2 linked regions of the Callithrix jacchus genome follow. The protein of the gene in region 2 purifies or fractionates together with the protein of the main gene of each other region. This does not show direct contact. Links are inferred from orthologs where the notes say so. Each region holds a gene or a part of one and is shown on either strand. Other genes may lie near its edges.

Region 1 (5,484 bases), on a different chromosome or scaffold from region 2:
TTTTAAAGAAAGGCACAAAAAAGAAGAATGTTCTCAGCACCTGGAAGCTAAAGTTCTTCCTTGAAAACTTATTCTAAGTCTGCTATTTGCCAACTACGTAATTCTGGACAAAGGGTGTCAACTATGTGTGTGTCCTCAGGGTTGTCACAATGCAATTATCCTTGTAATGTGTTTATCAGCATATGTGCCTGACCACCACTTGGTCCTCAAAAGGTGCAGTTGTGAAGGAAGTAAAGACATCCGTACATTTGGGCCTCAAGAAGTGGACCTTGGACAGCTTCAAAACCAACCATCTCTCACCGGGTGCAGTGCCTTATGCCTGTAATCCCAGAACTTTGGGAGACCAAGGCAGGTGGATCGCCTGAGGTCAGGAGTTCGAGACCAGTCTGGCCAACAGAGTGAATCCCCATCTCTACTAAAAATACAAAAATTAGCTGCATGTGGTGGCATGCACCTGTAATTCCAGCTACTCAGGAGTCTGAGGCAGGAAAATTGCTTGAACCCGGGAGGTGGAGGTTGCAGTGAGCCAAGATTGTACCACTGGACTCCAGCCTGGGTGACAGAGCAAGATTCCATCTCAAAAACAAACAAACAAACAAGCAAACAAACAACAACAAAAACAAAAACAAAAAAAACCACCAACCATCTCCTGGTGGTTCCCTATGTCTGTCTCCTACCCTATAGAGACAAATCTGTCTGCCTGTTTTTATAATTTGTAACAACAGTGTTTATGTTTTTAAATGATAACAAAAATTACATTTCACCATCCATAGTTTTATTTGAACACAGCCAGGTCTACTCATTTAACGATTTTCTATGGTAGCTTTCAAGCTCCAAATGCAGAGTGAATGACCTGCAAAGGTTAAAATATTTACTCTCTGGCCTTTTAAAAAAGTCTGTTGACTCCTGTTCCAAACTATTCCAAAGATCTTCCAGTGGAAACATCTAAAAGTCTTCTTTAATGTTTGATACTAAACTCTCTCTTCCAAAGGTATCAGAAGTGAGAAAAATTAAAAAACTAAATAATAAAATCTTCTCCTCCTCCTGAGCCTGCTCCCACTCATACTTTTCCTGAATGCATGAGTTCCATTTCTTCAGGCCAGCACCCTGGGATCAGTCTTGCCTCTATCCTTTCCCACAGGCTCTTGTCTGAATCACCAGCAAACTCCATCCTTTCAACATCAGAAATAATGATTCTGTTTTTCCCCTTTGAGCCATTAATATCATGTTCATAAGTTTTCTAATACTGAACAACCCTCAGATTCCTATGAAATCCCTATTTAACTGGGACAGGTGAGCCTTTTAACACACTACTATTTTTATTTGTTAATATTGAGATTTTTTTTTTTGTTCTCTCTCTATATATATACACAAATAAAAATTTTAAATAAGGTTGGGATATAATTTTCTTTTTTAGTTTGTCAAGTTTACTATATTTTTTTTTTTTGCTGGTTTTGCTGGTTTCATAAAACACACGGATAAATGTAACCTCGTTTCCTACAATAGGGGTTCTTTTTATAGCATTTGGATGATCTGTTTTGAAAGTTCACTCAATGAAACTCACTTATAAAACCACTGGGGCCACGAACCTTTTTGATTAGCATGTCTGATTTTTCTAACGTAAATGAAAACCAGTTTAGCTCTGCTCTACCTGAACCCTCCAAGCACAGTGACTGGGGACCAAACCATCACTCACGGAGGTGGTCCAGCTTCTGGCTGTGTGGTGTGGCCGAAGATGGAGAAGAAGGGAGGGAGTCAAAGGTCATGTCACTCATGTTCTCATCTCCAGAGTTCTCTGACAGGGGACGGAGCAGGGGGGGCCGACTTCCAGAGAGGGTCCTTATTCGCGGGCTCCCACATTTTTCCTCTGTTCCCCTCAAGATGGTCTTGGCTGATTGCTGGGGACATTAACAGGGATACTCATGTCACACACACACCCTGTGGGAAATAAAGGGCTCTTCCTATTATTCCTCTAGCCCTGAAATCCCTTCATCTGTAGCTTCTAAACATGCCTGTTTAGGGGCTGATATATTGTCTCAAAAAAATAAAAAATCAGTAGGGAATTAAACCTAAGTCCTCCAAGAAAGGGCATCAGGGACAGAAGCTCAGAGGACCTGCTAGCCAGCATCCCCTAAAGCACTGACCACATTCCACAGCCTGGAGCTGGAGAAAGCATCCCACTCTATGTCCAGCATCCTAGGCTGGTCTTGGCAACATTCTCTTGTCTCTGGTCCAAATAGCAGTGGGAGGGATGGGAGTTATCCTGCTGAGGTGCCTGGAGAGCCAGGTCTAAGACCAGTTCAGTCGTTTGTCTGAACTGAATATAACACACAAACACACACACACCACATGCCTTCTCACTATCTCTACATGTCTATTCCCCTCACTCTGAGAATAAATGGGCCCAACCTAAGCAGATACCAGCTGCTAGACTGTGAGACACTCAGGAGGACTCTGTGCACTGAGCTGGAGGGGACAGCCTGGGGCACAGATGGGACAGATGCTTCCAGCTCTGGTATTTGTCAGTTAAGCACTGCTCGGCCTGGCTGTCACCACACAGGGGAGCAAGGCTTGCTGCGCGGGTAGCAGAAGGGCCCACCAGGCCAAGCAGGGTCACACCAGGCACCCACCAGCAGCTTGGTGTTCTGATTCACTGCGTCCCTCTCCCGGGGCGAGAGGTCAAAGGGAGCAAGGCCCATGCTCTCACAAATCCGGTTGCAGGCATGAGAGTAGAAGAAAAGCGCCATCCCGCGGACACCTGTGGACAGAGCAGGGGTGTCTGGAGTGTTGCTTTGCTCTGTGACGGGGAACAGGCAGTGGTGGGCCTCAGACACATGGCCAGGGCAGCTACAAAACTTGTGGAGCTGGGAGGCATCAGACATCCAGGCTCCCATCTCCACAATCTTGGGAAAGCGCAGACAGTGTCTCAGCCTATTTCCTTGGCTGCACAAAGAGCTCAGAGGTTTTAGCAGGGAGTGTGGTTTCTGGGGAAACAGGTTGGCTCTCCCCACCTACCTAGGTTGCCGTCACCAAAGTCAGTGCCCATCTCTGTGTGGATCTGTGGGTCAGTGTAGAGATCCCCAACTCCCTGGATGTCCACCACTATCAGCTGATGGCCGGAACGCTCAAATGTGAAGTGGCTGAAGGCCTGCACGGGGACAGGAAGGAAAAGGAGATGTCAAGAGACAGGCTGAGGGCTGTGCAGGCACTGGCCACACCTCTGCTCTGGGGGTTGAAATGCCCCAGCTTTGCCCATGCTGAGAGGCTTTCTCTGCAAGGAGGAGTTATATAGAGGAAAAGACAAAGGAAAAAGGCCGGTTCAGTTAGGCAGGGACTGTGGGCTGAAGGTCCTGTGGCCACCTTAGGTAAGAGAAGCTGTCATGGGGTGACAGGTGTCCCGTTATAGTCTCCTTCAGAATGCTCACAGGGCTCCTCTGAGGGTGAGACTCCAAGCCCACAAGGACCATCCTCTTTGGGGGCTAAACCTGGCCAGGATCCCATCCCAAAGGGCTGGGGTGGGCAGAGCATGCAGGTAAGCAGGGGCCTCACCTGCGGTGTCAGGCGGATGTTGTCGTCACGGACAAAGCCTGAGTTGGAGTTATACTTGATGTACTTGCCCTCGATGTAGTGCTCCAGATGGAAGAGGGGCTGGCCTGGTCTGTCCTTTAGCTCAAGGATGCACATCTGCATGATGTCCACCTGATGGGATGGGAGTGGGAGTGGGCTCAGGTGGGAGGGCCCAGTGCACCTCCTCTGAGAATCGGCAGCAGGAGTGCTGAGAGGAGCTGGCCTGCCTGGGCTCAGACCCTGGCTCCGTCACTTACTAGCTCTCTACTGCAGGAGCTCCTGATGATGCCCAGAATCTGATCTCCTCTTTTCCTTTCATTTTTTTTTAATTAAAAAATACATATTGCTGGACGCAGTGCAGTGGCTCATGCCTGTAATCCCAGCACTTTGGGAGGCCAAGGTGGGCAGATCACGAGGTCAAGAGATTGAGACCATCCTGGCCAACATGGTGAAACCCCATCTCTAGTAAAAACACAACAATTAGCTGGGTGTGGTGGTGTGCGCCTGTAGTCCCAGCTATTCAGGAGGCTGAGGCAGGAGAATTGCTTGAACCTGGGAGGTGGAAGGTGCAGTGAGTCAAGATCGCACCACTGCACTCCAGCTTGGTGACAGGGTGTGATTCCATCTCAAAAAAAAAAAAAAAAATTAATAAATAAAACAAAAGCACAAAAATTAGCTGGGTGTGGTAGTGTCTGCCTGTAATCTCAAGGGGTCTGAGGCAGGAGAATCACTTGAACCCAGGAGGCAGATGTTGCAGTGAGCCAAGATCATGTCACTGTACTCCAGCCTGGGTAATAGAGTGAGATGCCATCTCAAAAAAAGAAAATTCTTTTTGGAGACAGGGTCTCACTCTGTTGCCCAGGTTGGAGTGCATAATTATGGCTCATGATAGCCTCAAACTTCTGGGCTCAAGCGATCCTCCCACCTCAGCCTCCCGAGGAGCTAGAACTACAGGTGTACGTCACTACACACTACATATGGCTCATATCTAAATATTTTTATCGAGACGAGGTCTCGCTCTGTTGCCTAGGCTGGTCTTGAATTGGCCTCAAGCAATTCTCTTAACTTCCAGCATCCTCCCAGAGCATTAGGATCACAGGATGCAGCCACTGTGCTCAGCTCTCTTTTCCTTTTAGAATGAAACCCTGGATCGCTGAGTTTTTTTTGTTTTTGAGATAGAGTCTCACTCTGTTGCCAGGCTGGAGTGCAGTGGTGCAATATTGGCTCACTGCAATCTCTGCCTCCTGGGTTCAAGCGATTGCCCTGCCTCAGCCTCCTGAGTAGAGACTACAGGTATGCACCACCTTGCCTGGCTAATTTTTTGTATTTTAGTAGAGACAAGGTTTCACCATGTTGGCCAGGATGATCTCGATCCCCTGACTTTATGATCTCTCCACCTTGGCCTCCCAAAGTGCTGGGATTATAGGCCAAAGCCACTGCACCCAGACCCCAAATCACTGAATTTTAAAAGGGTCCATAGCCACCCACTAGGGATGACATTGCTAAGATTCCCTTGCAGCTAAGTATGGCCACATGACCGTGCCTGGCCAATGGGAACTGAGCATTGCAATGACAAAACTCCAGCCTGCCCTATAAGGTGGACTCTGCTTGGGAGCCAGAACTGATCATGTGGTCCATGGCAAACCCCTGAGGGGATGGCAGACAAACAAGACCAAAGGAACCAGGTCTCTAGATGGCTTCAAGGAGATGAGGCACCAGCCTACCCCAAGTCACCCACCAATGCAGGACCTCCACACAAGTGAGACAGAAACTATTTCATGTCTGCACATATTTGTGGGTCTGTTTGCTAAACAACTTAGACTATGCCTTACAGTAATACCATGAATTTGGGAACATTTATGAATTTTACCTCTCTATGCCTCAGTTTCCTCACCTGCAGAAAGAGTCTCAGACTCA
Region 2 (5,484 bases):
TCCACTGTGCTCAGGGTTAGCTCCTCCCAGTGAAAAGTGTAGGCATCTACAGACCTGGCCCCAGGTCACGCCTGTCCCATAGGTGTAGGAGGATTGGGGGCTTCTCCAGGGGGTCCACAGGCAGACTTGAGATCCCTTCAAGCAATGAGTCTTGAGGCTGTGCCCTCTCTCTGTCTGCACTGGAGCCCCTCCAATATCTTGCTCTAGGTCTTTGAGCATCTCGGTGGTAGGAAGACTTGCATGTATTGGTCAGAATCTCCTCCCTTTATACTTTCATAGTCCTATTTCCCCTGCTCAAGGACCAACAAAGGTGGGGCAGTGGTGGGGATACCCCTGAAAATACTGATGCCAACTGAAGTAAATGTTCTAGGGGCCCTGCCTGCCACTGTGAGTGTTGGCTGCTACTGGCTCACGGCTGCCACCTCCTCTGGACAGCTGCCCTCAGCTGAATGGGAATGGCGTCACTTGGAGAGGTTTCCCTCCCATGCCCCCAGAACCAATGACAGACCAATATGGATGTACAAGAAGCTGGCCCCAGTTCTGTGCTACAGTTCTCCCTCTGCAGCTCCCCATGAATTCTAGCTGAGGTTAAACCTGAGGCTAGACTCCAGCCAAGACCACATCCTTCATAGCCCTTTTCCTGTCCCACTTCCCTCCCTCCCCTTTCTCCTGAGAACCATTCTTCAATAGACCTCACATATAAGGGTCTCCATCTTGGGCTCTGCTTCTAGGACACCTGACTTAAGGCACTGTCTACAATGGCCTGGGCTGTGCCTCTTGTCCCTCTGTCCCATTCCTGCAGGCTCACTCCCTCTCCAGGTGGCAGCAACCCTACAAACTCCCAGCAGGAGCAGGCTGAAGTTCTTTCACAATGCTCTGTGGTCCCAAGGGTAGTGGGTGCATACAGGCGTGGGGACAGGCCTGGGCCTTCCTGAGCAGTGTTCTCTGCCCGCCTGCATGTCCTCACCAGGTAGGCAGCTTCCCGCATGAACTGCTTGGCCGGCTGTTTCCAGATGGCAGGCACCGTCAACACCCAGCGCACAGTGTCCTTTCCTGGCAGCGATGGGCTCTGCTCCCTCAGCTCCTGGTGTAGAAGGGGGCAGTGAGAGGAAGAGCTGGCTTGGAGGGAGGGTGGTCTTCAGCCCTCTGTGGAGCTGGAGAAACTAATCAAACTACAGGAAAGACTTCCCAGCTGAGTTGGAAGAATCGGGCCCCCTCCCATCAGTATGGCTTGGTACAGGCTCTACCAGACGAAAAGAGAGGGAACTGGAGAAAATGACCTCGGACCTCTGGCAGTGGCTACGCATCCAATGTCGGGGGCGGGAATGTTCGGATGAGGGGAAAGGATGGGAGTAGAGGGGCCTGGGGGTCCCTGCTGCAGTCAGCAGTAGTGGGGCCGCAGCATACCTGAAGGGCGTGCTCCCTGAAGAAGCGGAGGGCATGGGCGAACACCTCCAGGGCAGGCATCTTCTTTCCATTTACTGCCTCTAGTTGGGTCTTCAAGGTGAGATCCTGGCAGGGACACAGGGTGGCTCTGGAGGAAGCCTCAGCTCTGCCCTCATTTCCTGACGACCTCATTCTTAAAACCACCCCATTTTCTGAAGCTTCCCCTCCTCTTTAGCACCGTCTCATTCTTGCCCCAATCTGACATTAGCTCTGCCCCAGCACCTCTCCTAGGCCCCACCCTTCCCGCAACCCGTTTCACTATTAGCCCGCTTCCAGGTGTCTCACTTCTGAGTTCCTCCCACACTGGGGTCCGAAGTCTCCCTTTAGCCCCGCCCCCTCTCAGCCAGGACTCCCTCGGGCCAGTCCTTACACCTTTAGGTTTTGTCCCACCCTCCCATTAGCTTTCCCAGGCAGGCGCAGGCCCCGCCTCCCTGTCTGAAGCCCGGTGACTCACTGTGGCGCTGTGGATCTTCATCTTGAACTTCTCGAAGTAGAGCCAGTCCCGGGCCTCCTCGGGATCCAGGTCATGATAGTAATCGCGGGCGGTGTAGCCAAAGCTGTGGAAGGCGCCCTCTGGGGTCAGCAGCAGGCAGGTCGGGGTCTTCTGGTGGGCCACGCCCGGGTCTCCGCCCTCCCATTTCCTGCGGGACACCGGGCCGTCAGTGCAACCCTCCCTTCCTGGGTGGGAATGCAGGCAGAGGGAACAGCATATGCAAAAACTTACAGGTGAGCAAGAGCAGGGAGAACTAGCTACGGGTCGGCTGGATATGCAGCCGGAGAAAATACAAGAATGCTAAGGTCAGATCATGAAGAGAACAGAATGTCATTAGGAGCTCTGTCTAGGTGGATTTTAAGTAGTAAAGAGATATGACCACATTTGCCTTTAGAAAGAAAGGTCACTGGCTCCCGTGGAGCAACAGAACGGAGGAGAAAGGAAACCGGGGAGGAGGACGCTGCCGCCATTCAGGTGAGAGAAGGTCGGGGCTGAACTTGGGCAGGATCGGTGGCCCAAGAGAAGAAGATGGGGATTCTAGGTGTTAGGGAAACATCTAGAGATGTTAGGGGCTTGGTGGCTGATGGGAAGAGAAGGCTTGGGAGGAGGCCAGGATGTCCCCCAGTTGTTTCCTGTGACTGTCACCTCCACAGGACAGAGACAGTGTCCCTGCATGTGTCCTTAGCCCCAGCATGGCCTCAGCTGTGTGTCTTGATGAGCCTGTAGTTCCTATAGCACTGTTAGTGCCCAGAGCCTTTGTGGCTTCCTAAGATGCAGGAGGAAGGACAGCCCAATCTCAGGAAGCTCAAGTCCTGTGTATTTTGGGAGCAGTTACCTGTCTGTCTCTCCATTCACCCTTCCAGCCAGCCTCCAGGCCTGGGGAAGCCCCTCTTACCTCCCATCCCAGTCCGGGTTGAGAGCTTTGAGGTCTCCTATAGCTTCACCTACTGCCTGCCGACCCCCTAGGACACATCCAGAGGACTGGGGTCTTGAGGTCCAGAGGAGAGTGTTCACACAAAACCCAACAACATCTGAATAGAATTTTGAAACATGTCTTTCATAACAACTGTGTGACTCGTCAACTCAACCCTTGGAACCTTCATTTTCTTGGTTTTTATTTGAGATGTTGGACCTAGGAATTACCACTTGGAATCTACCCCATAGAGATTGCAGCACAAGTTTCCAAAGAAGCATATTACTGTTGCACTTCTTGTAATAGTGAAAAATGAGTGGAGGAAAAAAAAAACCCTAAAACTGTCAATAGGGGAATGGATAAATTATGACACATCCGTACTGTGGGAATACTAGGCAACCATTCAAAGAAAGTGGTAGCTTTGTATGTACTGACATGAAATAGCTACAAAATAGTGTTGAAGGTTTAAAACAAAGGAAATTGTATATCTCACTTTTACTTAAAAAACACATATGTGTTTGTATATGTGTGTGTTTGAGTACAAGCTTAGAAAAAGATTTGTGGGCTGGGCACGGTGGCTCACACCTGTAATGCCAGCATTTTGGGAGACCAAGGTGGGAGGACCACTTGAGGCCAGGAGTTTAAGACTAGCCCTGGCAACATAGTGAAACCCTGTCTCTCCAAAAAAGATTTTTTTTTTTTAATTAGCCAGGAGGCTGAGGTGGGAGGATTGCTTGAGCCCAGGAGTTTAAGGCTGCAGTGAGCTATGATCATACCACTGCACTTCAGCCTGTGTGATAGAGGGAGACCTTGTCTCAAATAAAAAAAAGTAAGAAAGAAAGAAAATTAAAAAGGCCAGGCGTGGTGACTCACGCCTGTAATCCTAGCACTCTGGAAGGCCGAGGCGGGTGGATCACCTGAGGTCAGGAGTTCGAGACCAGCTTGGCTGACATAGTGAAACCAAGTCTCTACTAAAAATACAAAAATTAGCCAGGTGTGGTGGCACATGCCTGTAGTCCCAGTTACTCAGCAGGCTGAGGCAGGAGAATCGCTTGAACCCGGGAGGCAGAGATTGCAGTGAGCCGAGATTGTGCCACTGCCCTCCAGCCTGAACAGAGCGAGATTCCATCTCAAAAAGAAAAGAAAAGAAAAAGGATTTGCATATTTTATTGTATGTTTGTTATATCTCAAAAAAATTAAAAACGAAGTCTGATTTTTCCTTCAGAGGGCTGGGAGCTGCTCCAGTTGAGGCCACGGACCCAGGCCTGGGGCCTATCCTCCAAACTTTTGCCCCAGTGAGGAGCCCCAGACTAGGGACGGCAGGGCCTCTGAGGAGACCCCATGTCTCGGTGACAGTACTTTTGGGACCAAGATTATCCCAGGGTACGAGGGACTCCCCACGCTCCCCACCTCACTCTCCCAGCCCAGCTGCCCTCACCTCATCATGTGGATGGCCTCAGGGTCACTGGCAAAGCTGAAAGCATAGCCACTAGACGTGGTGCCGAAGTCAATGGCCACCACCACAGAGAAGGAGGCCTGCTGGGGGGCTCGGGCCTCGGGCTTCTGCAAGTGCAAGACCTAGAATTAGCAAGCAGCCAGGAGGGACACCCCCACACTCACCCCCAACACTTCCTCTGCATGGGGGAGACACTCCTCTCCACTGACTGTGATCCAGACTGGCCCTGGCCCTGGCCCACCCCACCTGCCCACCTGTCCGGGCTCCCCTGCCCTCCCAGGCTCCAGGCTGAGCCTTGGACATGCCTCTCAGGTAGCCCCAGGAAGGGTTCGGCTCAAGCTCCTGCTTTCTTGCTTCTAGTCTCTGCCTACCCTCTGCCTGGACTGCCTTAGCCCCACCCCTACCTCACACCATCTTCATAGGCAGCCACCAGCCTGGGCCCAGCTGAGAGCAATTTTGCTCCTCCAGGTAGCTTTACAACACATGGACCAGTGTATATTTTACCCTCTTGCTCTTTGTGGGCAAAGTGACACAAACCAGACTGTCTGATTCTGTGGCAGAGAGGACAGGCCATGTGCATGCCCCCAGAGAGCCTGGGCTCCCTGAGAATAAGGAAGTCCCTAAGCTGGATCGCCAGGGCAAGGTCATCCAGATGGGGTAACCCAGGGAGCTTGTGTCCTGGATACTTCAAGCTACTGGTTTCCTTTTTTAATTATTTTTATTTTATTTATTTATTTTTTTAGAGACAGGCTTTCGCTGTGTTAACCAGGATAGTCTCAGTCTCCTGACCTCGTGATCCACCTGCCTTGGCCTCCAAAAGTGCTGGATAACAGGTGTGAACCACGGTGCCCAGCCTCCTTTTTTTCTTTTTCTTTCTTTTTTTTTTTTTTTTTTTGACAAGGTCTCACTCTGTCACCCAGGCTCGAGTGCAGTGGTGTGATCTTGGCTCACTGCAACCTCTGCTTCCCAGGTTCAAGCGATTCTCCACCCTCAGACTCCTGAGTAGCTGGGATTACAGATGCGTGCCACCACGCCCGGCTAATTTTTGTATTTTTTGTAGAGGTGGGGTTTCGCTCTGTTGTCCAGGCTGTTCTCAAACTCCTGAACTCAAAGCAATCTGCCCACCTAGGCCTCCCAAAATGCTGGAATTACAGGAGTGAGCCACCGTGGCCAGCT

The links. The genes of interacting proteins can lie anywhere in the genome.
Region 1: the proteins of HSPA12B (region 2) and EEF2K purify together in Homo sapiens (affinity purification with mass spectrometry; 3 studies listed by BioGRID and IntAct, with this or other methods). This does not show direct contact. The link is inferred for Callithrix jacchus from reciprocal best matches to the Homo sapiens genes HSPA12B and EEF2K.

The regions. Positions count from the first base shown.
Region 1 is NC_133513.1:22,842,604-22,848,087, reverse strand, and holds part of EEF2K (eukaryotic elongation factor 2 kinase), read right to left. Parts: intron 3,700-5,484; coding exon 3,550-3,699; intron 3,149-3,549; coding exon 3,016-3,148; intron 2,759-3,015; coding exon 2,631-2,758; intron 1,899-2,630; coding exon 1,697-1,898; intron 1-1,696. UniProt on the Homo sapiens protein: Threonine kinase that regulates protein synthesis by controlling the rate of peptide chain elongation.
Region 2 is NC_133506.1:11,263,283-11,268,766, reverse strand, and holds part of HSPA12B (heat shock 70 kDa protein 12B), read right to left. Parts: intron 4,416-5,484; coding exon 4,291-4,415; intron 2,088-4,290; coding exon 1,901-2,087; intron 1,513-1,900; coding exon 1,408-1,512; intron 1,085-1,407; coding exon 968-1,084; intron 1-967.